Caenorhabditis elegans: one gene and its partner. The protein of the gene in region 2 purifies or fractionates together with the protein of the main gene of each other region. This does not show direct contact. Each region holds a gene or a part of one and is shown on either strand. Other genes may lie near its edges.

The links. The genes of interacting proteins can lie anywhere in the genome.
Region 1: the proteins of Y45F10C.1 (region 2) and poml-1 fractionate together in Caenorhabditis elegans (co-fractionation; one large-scale study listed by BioGRID). This does not show direct contact.

Annotation. Positions count from the first base shown.
Region 1 is NC_003284.9:13,718,633-13,724,853, forward strand, and holds poml-1 (PON (paraoxonase) and MEC-6 Like), read right to left. Parts: upstream 4,290-6,221; 5' UTR 4,286-4,289; coding exon 4,203-4,285; intron 3,539-4,202; coding exon 3,415-3,538; intron 2,762-3,414; coding exon 2,615-2,761; intron 2,493-2,614; coding exon 2,380-2,492; intron 2,228-2,379; coding exon 2,135-2,227; intron 1,801-2,134; coding exon 1,693-1,800; intron 1,642-1,692; coding exon 1,468-1,641; intron 1,416-1,467; coding exon 1,329-1,415; intron 720-1,328; exon of another isoform or gene 696-719; coding exon 575-695; 3' UTR 514-574; downstream 1-513. Other genes in the region: shc-3 (SH2 domain-containing protein), read left to right, coding at 1-153, 197-309, 357-513; K11E4.6 (G_PROTEIN_RECEP_F1_2 domain-containing protein), read left to right, coding at 6,032-6,208.
Region 2 is NC_003282.8:13,655,819-13,661,420, reverse strand, and holds Y45F10C.1 (SPK domain-containing protein), read left to right. Parts: upstream 1-1,871; 5' UTR 1,872-1,873; coding exon 1,874-2,022; intron 2,023-2,065; coding exon 2,066-2,179; intron 2,180-2,225; coding exon 2,226-2,474; intron 2,475-2,522; coding exon 2,523-2,636; intron 2,637-3,507; coding exon 3,508-3,765; intron 3,766-3,808; coding exon 3,809-3,922; intron 3,923-3,970; coding exon 3,971-4,628; intron 4,629-4,677; coding exon 4,678-4,890; intron 4,891-4,939; coding exon 4,940-5,008; 3' UTR 5,009-5,093; downstream 5,094-5,602.

The sequences.
Region 1 (6,221 bases), on a different chromosome or scaffold from region 2:
TTGGGCATTGTGATGAAAATTGGAAGAACTGAGAAACGAGAGTGCAACGTTTTCATGTTGGATAACGACATCGCCCTGAATGACCTTACAACAAAATTGCGAAGTGTCGATGAACGAAGACATAATAATGCGCTACAGTTGGAAACTCGCCTGGTTATTTTAAATAACATTCTTTCGCAAAATTATAATTATTCAGAGGTCGACACAAGAATACAGGTACACACCGAACATGCTTGCATGCTACCATGGTCCGCTGTCACACGAAGACGCCTGTAGGCAACTAGTTCTACCGGGAGAATTCATCATAAGGTATGTTTCGTTACTTCTATAAAAAAAACAAATTTTGCATTTTATAGGGATAGTTCAATGCGTGGAGAGTTTGCCGTTTCCTATAAAACTAGTCATGGACCTCACGACAAATCAATTGTGCCCAACAATAACATCGACTTTTTCCGACGATTTCAAGTCGATCAGAGTGTTTTGAAACATCCAGTTGTGAGACGTCAAGAGTGAAACCTAATACATTTTTATAATTTCAAATTTTTGTAACGACTACAATGCAAATAAAACTAGTTTATAAATGGCAATTGAGAATTTTAGTTCCATCGGAAATAAGAAGACTCCTTCCCGCTCGGACTGTCACATTTGCGTTGGAAATAGTGGCACCATCGTTAGAGTATAATTGTGTGATTGTTCTGAATAATAAAAAATATAAGATGTCGATTCATTTTATTTTTCGAGTTTTTATCCGAAAATAATTAACATTTGATGCATGCAAATGCATCCATTGTTAGCCGTAGAACTTTTTCAAATCAAAAGGACTGCTTCTTTCTGTTTTGTCAATTTTTCGAACATTCAAATTTGGTAACTGGTGAATTCTCCCCGTTTCCACAATATTTTTGCACAAAAAAGTGCCAGACAAATATGACACATAAATTTCTTTTTTTTTTACATTACAAGTCAAAATTTTGATGCGTTGAATTTTATTTCAGTCTATAAATTATGTCTTGTGTTCATAATTCAGAACGCAATTTATATGTTTTTTTCTTTACGCGCTGATGGGGGCGTTTTAAGTTTCAAGTGGTTCAGCTCCTTTGTCACAATATTTTCGTACAAACATGTAAAAGTATTTTCATTTTCATTATTCTTCAAATGTGTTCAATTTACTATCAATTAGACGCGCTGATTAAGACGTTTGGAATTTGTGATAGAACATTTGTTTGATGTGTAAATATGAGCCTTAACTTATCAGTTTTTAAAAACGAAATTGATTTCATCAATACATATTCAATATTTTGAAATTGTTTTTTTCAAGGAAAACAACTCACAGAGGTTTATCTTTGTCCGTGGGTACAGCAACTCGAAGTATCAAAGATGGTGAAGATGTTATGACATTAAATAGACTGAGTAAATACCTGAAAACTATCGACTTGACATTTTTCATTTCAAACAAAAACTTTAACCTACCGAAATTTAACTGGATGGCAGGTAATCAAAAATGAGCCATCAAAATCTTTCCAAATTGAGCTCGGCGAGCAGCCTAGATCGTACTCCTTCGAACTAACTATTTCAATTCCATTTTTGACTTGCACCTTCATTCGATAAATAGAGTTTCTGGTGGATGACGTAACAAAAATTGATCTACAAATTAAAAAAAAAAACAAATATTCAAAAACACATTTTAAAACCCACTTTTTTACAGAATCATAAACGATGCCAGTTGGGAAAGAAACTCGGGATATTTGTTGTATATTATTTCCACTCACAAAATAAATGTAACCGGTTGGAATCGGTACAACTCTGAAAAATTTTGAATACCGAAAATTGATTGTAAAGCCAGATTTACTTTACAAAAATTTGGTTAAAACAGAAGCATGAGTTTTTAGACTTAATTATTACAATAAAAACAAAAATTTTAAGAAAATTGCTTTTTCTTGTGGGATTTGGGATTTTTGCTTGAGACAGTGATTTAAAAAATACCCAAAAAAGAAATAACGTGAAATTTCCGATAAGTGCAATGAATTATTTTTACAAAGTGTTTGCATACAAGCGAAAAAAAACAGTCAACCCTTGATGATAATGCAGAAATCTACCAAACTCTACTGTCCTGTTTCAATAAAAAAAAAAACTGCACCGTTCAATGATATTTAATGCAAAGTTGGTTCCAAATATACTGGATTTAACAAAAAAGAACGAATTTAGACCAGCAGCCGATATATCAGTGAGTCTGAAATAAAAATGTGGAATGAAACTCGATTACGTAGAAAACTTGCTTAAGAAGCAAGTTTCAAAAAAGTTCAACATTTAAATCTAATCAAAAACTTAGAGTTTCTCTCTTCAAAACATGAACCAACTGAAAAATAAGAAAAATAATCCTACCCTTCAAATTGCTCATCTTTGAATGTTTTTCGGTATTGCCACGCATCATTCTGTTCGTTTGTCTCAAAAACATCGATATTGTTGGTCCTTTTATTGTGCACAAAAACATTTGGCTGAAATTTAAAAAAACGCTCTGGCATTAAACATCTCCCGCCCAACACCAATACCCCAAAGCCATGTTAATTATTGGAATGCATGTGGCGCTGGAGACAAGTAAAACTCATCAATTACTTACATTACTTGTCTCACTGTTGATACTTAATGCTCCTGGTGTCAGACGCCATTTTGGTGGTCCGCCGCGAATCTCTATTTCTCGAGCGGTACGATTGTCGGAGTAAAATGTGAAGAGATGTGTTTGGTCTGTATTGATGTCTTTCGAGTTCTATAAAAATATTCTGTTTCAAAGTTCTGTTCAAATTTATGTTCAAATTTCAAATCAAAATTTCTTACGACGCTTGCTTTCTCAGTTTCTCAACATTAAGTCGCTTTTGGAAAATTATGAATTGTGATGATATTTGGTTAGTCTGTCATAAGTGTGTTTTGGAGCAATATACCTATGTATTTGCTCTACAATATTCTGATAAGATAATCCAATTCCTTAACTTTTTATTGAGCAATAGAAGAAAAAGCTCTGTTTTTGTGAACTACTTCACATTTTCACCTGTTATCGCAATTAAGATTTCCCAGACATCAATTTCCGTATTTTTTGAAATGTACATATTGCTACTGTTCCTATGATTTCTATTGTAACTTTTTGAAAAAGGTTAAAACACATTCATTCACTCTATTCTCTGTCTCATCGTAAATCGGAATAAACATCAAGTATTTCTCTTTAACGTCATGACTACTTAGTAAAGTGCATTGCTTCATTTGAAATTTATCATGTTGCATAGCTTATTCAAAATTGCACGTCTAAGAATTTTTGCATTTTCATCGATAAATGTTAAAAGGTTTGTGATAACTTTCAGAACATCGCAAAAAAATGTTCCAAATCTGAACTTATATCAATAGTTGAGTACATATTAATCAACATACCGTAGTCATATACAGTCGTCCCGTGGTACTGGTAGTTAGTCCAAGAATTCCTGGCAAATTAGGAATAACGCCACATTCTCCAGGAACATGGTTGTAAGTCCTTTTGTTGATATCAATGTGTAATCTGAAACTGTTTCAGTCGTTTTGTTTAAAAAAAAACATAAATATTCTTCAAACTGTTTGTGTTCAGACTCTTCTCATTAATATTTGATTCCCTTACTTTTTCTCGTCTCTTGTCTAAAACGATACCCTAGAAAAATACATGTTTCTAACTGGTGTGTTAATGGAAGGGTTTATATTTACGAATTAGTTGCTCACAATTCTGACTGTCTTTTTACACATTTTTAGTTTATTATACAAAATCACTTTGAGTACTTATAATCGCGTGCTCAAGCACTTAGAATATTACAATTTTTCAAAAGAGATGGTGTACTTTTTTGGGATTTTTTTCCAACGATGACATTTTTTTTGTATTCGGAAACTTATGATCAGATTTTTTGCACTAGTATTTCCCTTTTGGTACATTATTAGATTATTTAAATAAAAAATTCAAGCAGTATTTTTCAAATTGTAGAAAGTCTATTACAATGCTGATTTTTGTTTTTCGTTTTTTTAAAATTTAATTGAGAACCTTTTTTGTGGTGTAAATTCTATGTTCCGTTTTTTATTGTTTTAACACCAGTTTTAGAAAAAAAGTGGGTTGGAGCATTTTTGTAACTGAACAAAATATTTTTCAATAGACTTATCATTATATTTTTAATTAAAAAATGTACCACTTTCCCACTTACAAAAGTTTCCCAAATAGAGTAGTGACTATAGCAAAACTTGTAAAAAATAAACAGTTACTAGCAAACGGGCTTAGCTGTAGCATGTTTCCAAGACAATATGAGCTTCTTTCCCACTTAACAAAGCTGTTTCTCCTCTCTTTGCATTTAAAATGTTTCCCTCGGTTCAAGCTGTCTATTCTATCGCATGGTGTCGTTATGCAACCCTCTATTGTGCATTAAGAAAGAGCTAGTTGGTAGTTGTTGCAAACATGATGAGCATAAAGAAAATTAATATCATAAGGCATTTATCGAATTAGTTTTTCATCTTGTTTCAAACCGGAAGCGATTTGGTATTTTGCTCCTCCTTGAGCTTCATGTATTTCAAGTTGTTAATTTTTGGTTTACAGTTTTTTTTTGTTGCAAATTTCAGATTCAATAAATAGAACATGATATTTTTCAAAAAAAATCCTCTCCGATTTGAATCAAAATACTGCGTGATCACGGCGCAAACTGCATTATTTTTATAGTTGTAGGAAACTTCAAGAAAAAAAATTTAGCTTGCAGTATAACTTTGTTTTATTTCTTTTAAAAAAATTAAAAGCGTTGATTTTACGCGTCAACTTCACAAATAGAAAAATTTGACTGATCAGTTTTGAAATTAAATTTAGAGCTTAGATAACGCAATCAGAAGGTGGGCGTGATGAAGTTTCTTATTTGTTGTTTTCTAAAAATTATTTTTCAGTTAAAAAATTTAAAGTATTTTTCCGGTTTTTCACACACGGAATCCAGTGAAGCATGTTCCTTCCAAGAATAAACGAGTATCCATTTTTTGCAAGTATTTTCAGATGAGTTTATTTCTGGGGAAGAAAAAATTGAGTTAAATTTTATTTGAAATAACAAAAAAAAAAGTTGATACATATTCTGATTTATAAGGTTTTTTTTGTCAATTTTCATTTATTTTTTGAAGGTAATCTACTTAACCGAAACAGTTTAATAATTTCGGTTTTTTGTGATTAAGTTACATAATGAAACTCACTTGAGCATTTTCTGCTCACATCATCCCGTCCAGACATTAATACCACCCACTTAATCTCAAGAGTGAGGTTATTCATACCTACGTCTTAAGTTTATTCGGTTTCGTAGACATGAAACGTTGATAAGGAAATTTGTCACGCAATGTCCAATGAACTTAATAATCTCTCAAAGAACTTTGAACTGAAATAATCGAGATGAAAAATTTGTTTAGGAGTTTTTTAGTTATATCGTTTTCCGAAAAGTGGTTAAGACTATTTCAAAATTGGTATTCAAGTATCAGTGGATCGTACTCAGTGTACATGAGTGATGATCAAGGATGTTGTAAATTTTTACTTTGTTTGTTGACAAATACTCATATAATCCAAATTTATTGATTTTTTAATTTACATGTTTTCATCGCCTTCTTATGCTCATTGCGTAACAATCGCTCTTTGAATATCTGATCTATAATAATAATGAGACATGCAAGTTTTACTGACATACAACAACTGAGTATATGTAGGTGTTTGCCCGAGAGAGTTCTGGAAACACGGAAAGAATATCGAATGTCTGATGTCCAGAATAGGAACCATATTTCCGTTACACGCCTTTTTGTTTCTTTCCTCGTAATCTCTGTAATCTTTATTCTTTTTATTCACTCATTCATTTGCAACTTAGAACCAAGAGAATTCAAAGTCAAATATTGCCGCCTACTCAAGTAGTTTACAAGTTATCGAATTTCAAACTCTCTTACCTGAATATTTTCACTTTACTCACTTTTTTTCGTTTCGTCATTTTCGAATATTTGAATTTTCCAAATTCCAGGACACTCAAAAATGAGCCATGCAAGTATGGTAATATCGGCATGCGCTTTTAATAGAAGTATTGCAACGCATATTTTGTACATCGTCCCCGAGATAATGTGTTCATTGTCTGGAATATTGTCAGTGGCAATAATAGTATATTCGTTCTTTCTATATGGGTTTAGACTGCTGTTCCATTATAATGCCAAGGTAACGTTCACAA
Region 2 (5,602 bases):
GATGCGTTTCTCTTTCCGGTTCTAGAGCTTTCTGAAGTTGCTCAATTTTCGCTACATCTATTTTCTCCTAGAATAGTGTTCTTCCTCCATCATTTAAACACTCAAACTGCAATTTTCAGAGATAATCCTTTTCTCATGTTGGCAATCACCTAGAAATCTGCCAAGTTGGGATGCAGTGGCACCACAGGACCCAAGTCACAACACCGAGTTCCAGTTTAATCTTGCAGAGTTCAATTTGTTGTCCTAAAATTAAAAATAAATGTATTTTTTCAAGTCCTATGTTTTTTCTTGTAATTAAAATCAATATTAGAAAATTGCAATATAAAACACTTCAATTACCAAAAAAAAAGTTTTTGAAAAAAGTTGTAGATATTGCAGAAAATAGTTTTCACACAATTTTGGGTGTTCAGTTTTCATGCTCTAACAAAAAATCAATGAAATTTTCAAAAGAACACAAAGACGTTATACTTTCTACAGCTTTTAACTCTGTCCGTATGTGATATAAGAGAAGTTGCCAACTTAAAAGTTGTTAGCAATATAATGAGCAACAAGTTTATTGTTGACTTTTTTGTAGAGGTATAAACGTCATAAGTTGACCACAATGTACTAGTTATATCTAGAAATAAAAAATCTCAAGAATGCCCATAACATCGGAAATTTTGCATTTTTTTACAATTACTAAACAGTTCTTTATAATCAGTCCACAAAAAAAATGTCCAAAAAAGTTCATAAGGGTTATGATCTCAAAAATCGTCACCAAGTCATCAGAAGAATATTAGAGTAATATTTTTTTATTAAATAGACAATTTCATAATGTTTACTTGAAACCTACAAAAATTCTTCCCAATGCCGTCTTTGAACGCGATGTCCCCTTTCTCGATGCCTCCTGGGAACATGTGTCGCAAAATTAGAACATACCAATCTTTAAAATATTTTACTGTTTCACAATACTTTGAAATAGTTGAATATATACAAACGTCATTGCTACACTGATGCAAACAAGTTACAAATTCCTGAAACTCGTTTGTCATCTGCTCATTCATACGTGCAGATGATTGGTGTGCTGCTCAAAACTTTCCCTGTCCGGATTCTTTTTGGCAAGCAATTTTTCTAGCCGTTCGATTTGTTCTTTCAATTTTTTCTTTTCTTCACCCCACACCATTAATTGTTGTTCAAATACACGCAAATTTTGAAGTTCATATATATTTTGTTTATGCATCCCCTCCAAGGATACAATTTGAGTCTTCAATTTTAAGCATGTTGGATTCGGAAACAGAAGTGCACCTGGACCGAAAATCTCATAACCATCGTCTATCGAAATCATCTTCCTGATATTTTTAAACATAAAATTCAATTCACTATCCTCGTTACTCAGAAATGGTGAGGTGTTTGAGGGGAAATACGATGTAACGAGAGTTTCTATAACGTTGTCCATGATAAACTGCTCCATGGTGCATTGGAGGAGAAAAGTAAATGGTCCGATGTCCGTCGGATCCCTCTATACACTCATAAAAAGTGTTCCAGGCCATCGTTTGACAAAATCGTTCAGGCTTGAAGTGTTTCTTAGAAGTTCATCATTAATAAAGTTTTCCAGACTTTATCAAGTTTTCATTGCTGGTATACAACTGATTAAAGAACGCATGCAAATATAACTTTATTACATATAGAAAACAATAGAAGGTATGCTGAAAACTTGATTTCTAAAAATTTAGGTAAAAGTTGAAAACGTTTTAATTAATTTAAAAATTTTTTTTTTTTTTTTTATTTTTAATTTAAAAAAATAAAAAATATATTTACATATAATTTTCCCGTCGCACGGCGAGCACGTGGAAGAGGTTTCCTCAACTTACTAAATATTTTTATTTCAAACTAAATGGAGTTCATATTCAATGATGACTTGAAGCGACAAATGGATTTTCTTATTGATTCAACAGAACATGCTACGGAGCGAATCAAGTTATGCCCTCTTCTTAAAAAGTTCAGTGAGCGCTTTGGGCTCAACTATTCGACCTATCTTTCCCGGTAGGAGTTGTTAGTCTGGATATTTTTAAAACTCATGTTTTAGATTCCATCAAAAACTTTGTCCACAAATAAGTAACATGGATACATACAGTGTCGAGAGCCGGATTCGACTACTTTTTGCTTTATCTGGTAAAGTTTCGGATGAATTCCTTGCAAGGTGGGATTGTAATGACATTTTCAGTGTGAGAACAAATAATTTACAGAATGCAATCCTTGGGAAACGTCGAGCTCTATGAAAACAGACGAATTGAGAAATTCGTTTCAAACGATGAAAGTCTTATCCTTGAAGATAATCAATATGGCCAACTAAATGATGAGAAATGCAAGAAATTCATGGAATTCCTGATGCAGCACACAAAAGACTTCGTGAAACCAATGTCGGCCACACAAGTTTTCGAAGAATTCAAGAAACGTGAAAATTCTAGTACACATTCATCTATGTACTTTGAGAGGTGAGCAGAGTATTATTATTATTTGTCGTTTCTTAATTATCGGTTCAGATTCCGCAATGAGCTTGCCCCGATGATTCATTTGTGGAACGCATATAGTGTAGGAGCTCGTGTGAGACTGATGTTCGTTCTAAGTCAATCAGTAGAGAATGAGTTTCTTACAAGGTGAGAACAAAATCAGGAAATGCAAAAAATGAAGATTTATCAGCTTTTCCAAGTGAATATTTTTGTCCAAAAGAAGAACATAGTCATGTTATTTATGTTTTCTTCACACGGACAATTACATCAGTTTTACAACTAAAAACGAGCCGCGACGCGACACGCAACGCGCCGTAAATCTACCCCAGATACGGCCAAGCCAAAATGGCCTAGTTTAGCTAACTCTTCCATTTCAATTTATGAGGGAAGCCAGAATTCCGTGATAATATTCATATTCGAAAAATGCTAAAGAGAAATTGGCGATAATAATTTTTAAAACTGCTCGAATTTACGATTTGCCACCAAATACACTCAAAATAAGAAAACTGCGTGTCGTGTACTGCAGAAAACCTCATATTTAGGCCCCGCCTTTTTCTCGTTCACTCACGGAGAAAAGGCAAAAATTTGGGGACCAACCAATATCAGGCCGCCGACATCCTACGGGTTCCGCGCGCCGCTATGTTCAACTCGCAGCGGGCGGAGACAGCTCGCCACACCCACTGCGAGTTAAACATAGCGGCGCGCGGAGCCCGTAGGATGTCCGCGGCCTGATATTGGTTGGTGCCCAAAATTTTGCCTTTTCTCCGTGAGTGAACGAGAAAAAGGCGGGGCCTAAGTATGAGGTTTTCTGCAGTACACGCCACGCAGTTTTTTATTTTGAGTGTAATAATATACTAAACGAGACCCAAAAAAAAATGGGCAGAACGTTCTCGTTTGACCGTAGAGCGCGATCGCGTTATGATTTCAAAATACTCATCTTTCTGTGTCGCTATAATATCACATTAAAGAGAGCATTTATGTGGAATAACGTTACTACCATAAAAATACAATTTTTCAGAATCGAACAGCTTGGTATCGTTCAGCTCGACGACAAAAAGCGAATCTGGAAATTCACATCATTTGATGAACAGCTTAAATTGCAAGGAAGACATGGTCGTTGCTCAGTAGATATAGAAAGCCCCGAGTTTGTCCGATTTGTCCAATTTCTTGTGAACAAGACTGAAAAGTCCAACGAACCAATTGATCAGCGGAGGGTGTTCGGAGAGTTTCGTGCTCTCGAGCATGGTGTACTTGATGTTACCACCTATAGGGGCAGGTGAAAAGAATTTTCTTGATTGTCTTCGAGGTTTTTGATTTAGATTCCATGGAGTTGTGGCCCGGAATATGATTCTTTTGGACAACTTATCAATCGATTTGCGCATCCGTATGATGTTTGCGTTGAGTGGGAAGATGGAGGCGAATTTTCTTTCCGAGTAAGCATAATTTCGAGTTAAACCTCATTGGCTGGAATTGAATTTCAGAGTTGAAAAACAGGGAATTGTTCGATTGGATGATCAAAATCGAATCATTGAGTATGTCGCAAACGATGGAAAAATGAAACTCAAAGGTCAACATGAAGGAAGAAAAAGAGCATGGAAGACTCGAGCGACTGGAGCGAACTCAGGCAACACAGGATCCAGTGGAAACTACAGTAAAAGGAGCAGGCGAGACGGAGAAGGTTGTTCAAGTCGTCAGGAGACTCCTCATATGGATACTGCCGGATCCTTCGATGATTCCTTCAATTTCGAAGAATTCACTCGGATGCGCTTATCGTACAACGATGTGCTGAAGAGTTTTGCGACTGTTATCGATAGAGCTCCGAAGGTTAAGATTTCTGATGACACAAAAGGGAATGTTGACAAGCACAAGGCTCAACAAATTATTGATTTGCTCAAGACTTTTACAACTGTTGTCGAAAGTGCGCCGAAATTAGAGATCGTTGATGAGTCCGAAGTACAGTGTGATGCAGTCAACAATAACAAGGCACAAGAAGCTGATGTGGAAGGATCTGAATATCCGAAGATCTCGATGCTCAATGTACTTGACAAGTTGGACAATATGCTCATTTCTCTTGAATCGGAACTTTTAAATGAGTTGCTAAATGAGATTGAACAACTTCGCGTTGGACCGGCGGATAAGGTAGTTGAGGAATATCAACTTTTCAGTTTAATTCTATCTTTTTCTTCAGATGATTCCGTTGAAACTATTCATCAATGCCATGGAGTCGATGTTGCAGAATATCACTGGAAAGTTCCAAACGAAAGATGCAGATGGGAGTACACCAGCAAAAGATTTTTTGAAAACTTTGACGCATTTTCTAAAGTGGATGAAGGTTCCGTTGCTTGCCAGTTTTCTGAAAAAAGTCGAGGAAGAAATTGAGAAACTCGGAGACATTGAACAAGTAATCTTGATAAAACATGTTGCTCAATAAAATCCAAATCTTATTCCAGAATGTCATGATCGGTGATGTTAACCAACAAGTTCGAGATTTACTGGTGTTCCTCGTGGTGTCATCCTGATTCGATGTAAATATTTAACTCTGATTTCTTATTTTATTTTTTAAGGATCTATTTGCATGTTTGAATGAATGAAAATTAACTGGAATTAATTATAGGCAGGCTTGAAGTATACTTATGCGTCGGCATGAGGATGTAGGTATCCTGGTACGTGATATATTGTATGCAGAAAAGAAATTAGGTAGGCGTAAAGTAGGCACGTAGGCAGACACGTTGGCTGGCAGTAAATAGGCACGAATGTAATGTGTAACCGCCATGCAGGTTTATAATCCAACATGAGGCAGGCAGGTAAGTAGGTAGGTATGTAGGTTGCAGTAAAGTAGGCAGACATGAGCGAGTTGCATATGACGTCATGCAGTAAGAATGTAGGAAGGCACGTAGGTAGGCATCTAGTAGACGAAGGCACACACATGAGCCAGACATGTAAGTATGAAGCAAGTATGAGGAAGGATGTAGGCAGGCAGACACGCGGTAGGCGAAAAATAGACAACCCTGTACAGAACCGCATAAAATTATTTATTCTGCTCAGTGAGCACAGTTATCAAGTAGTTCTCCGAATTCTTATCACAAAAGCCAAAGCCCAAATAACTTCCAAAA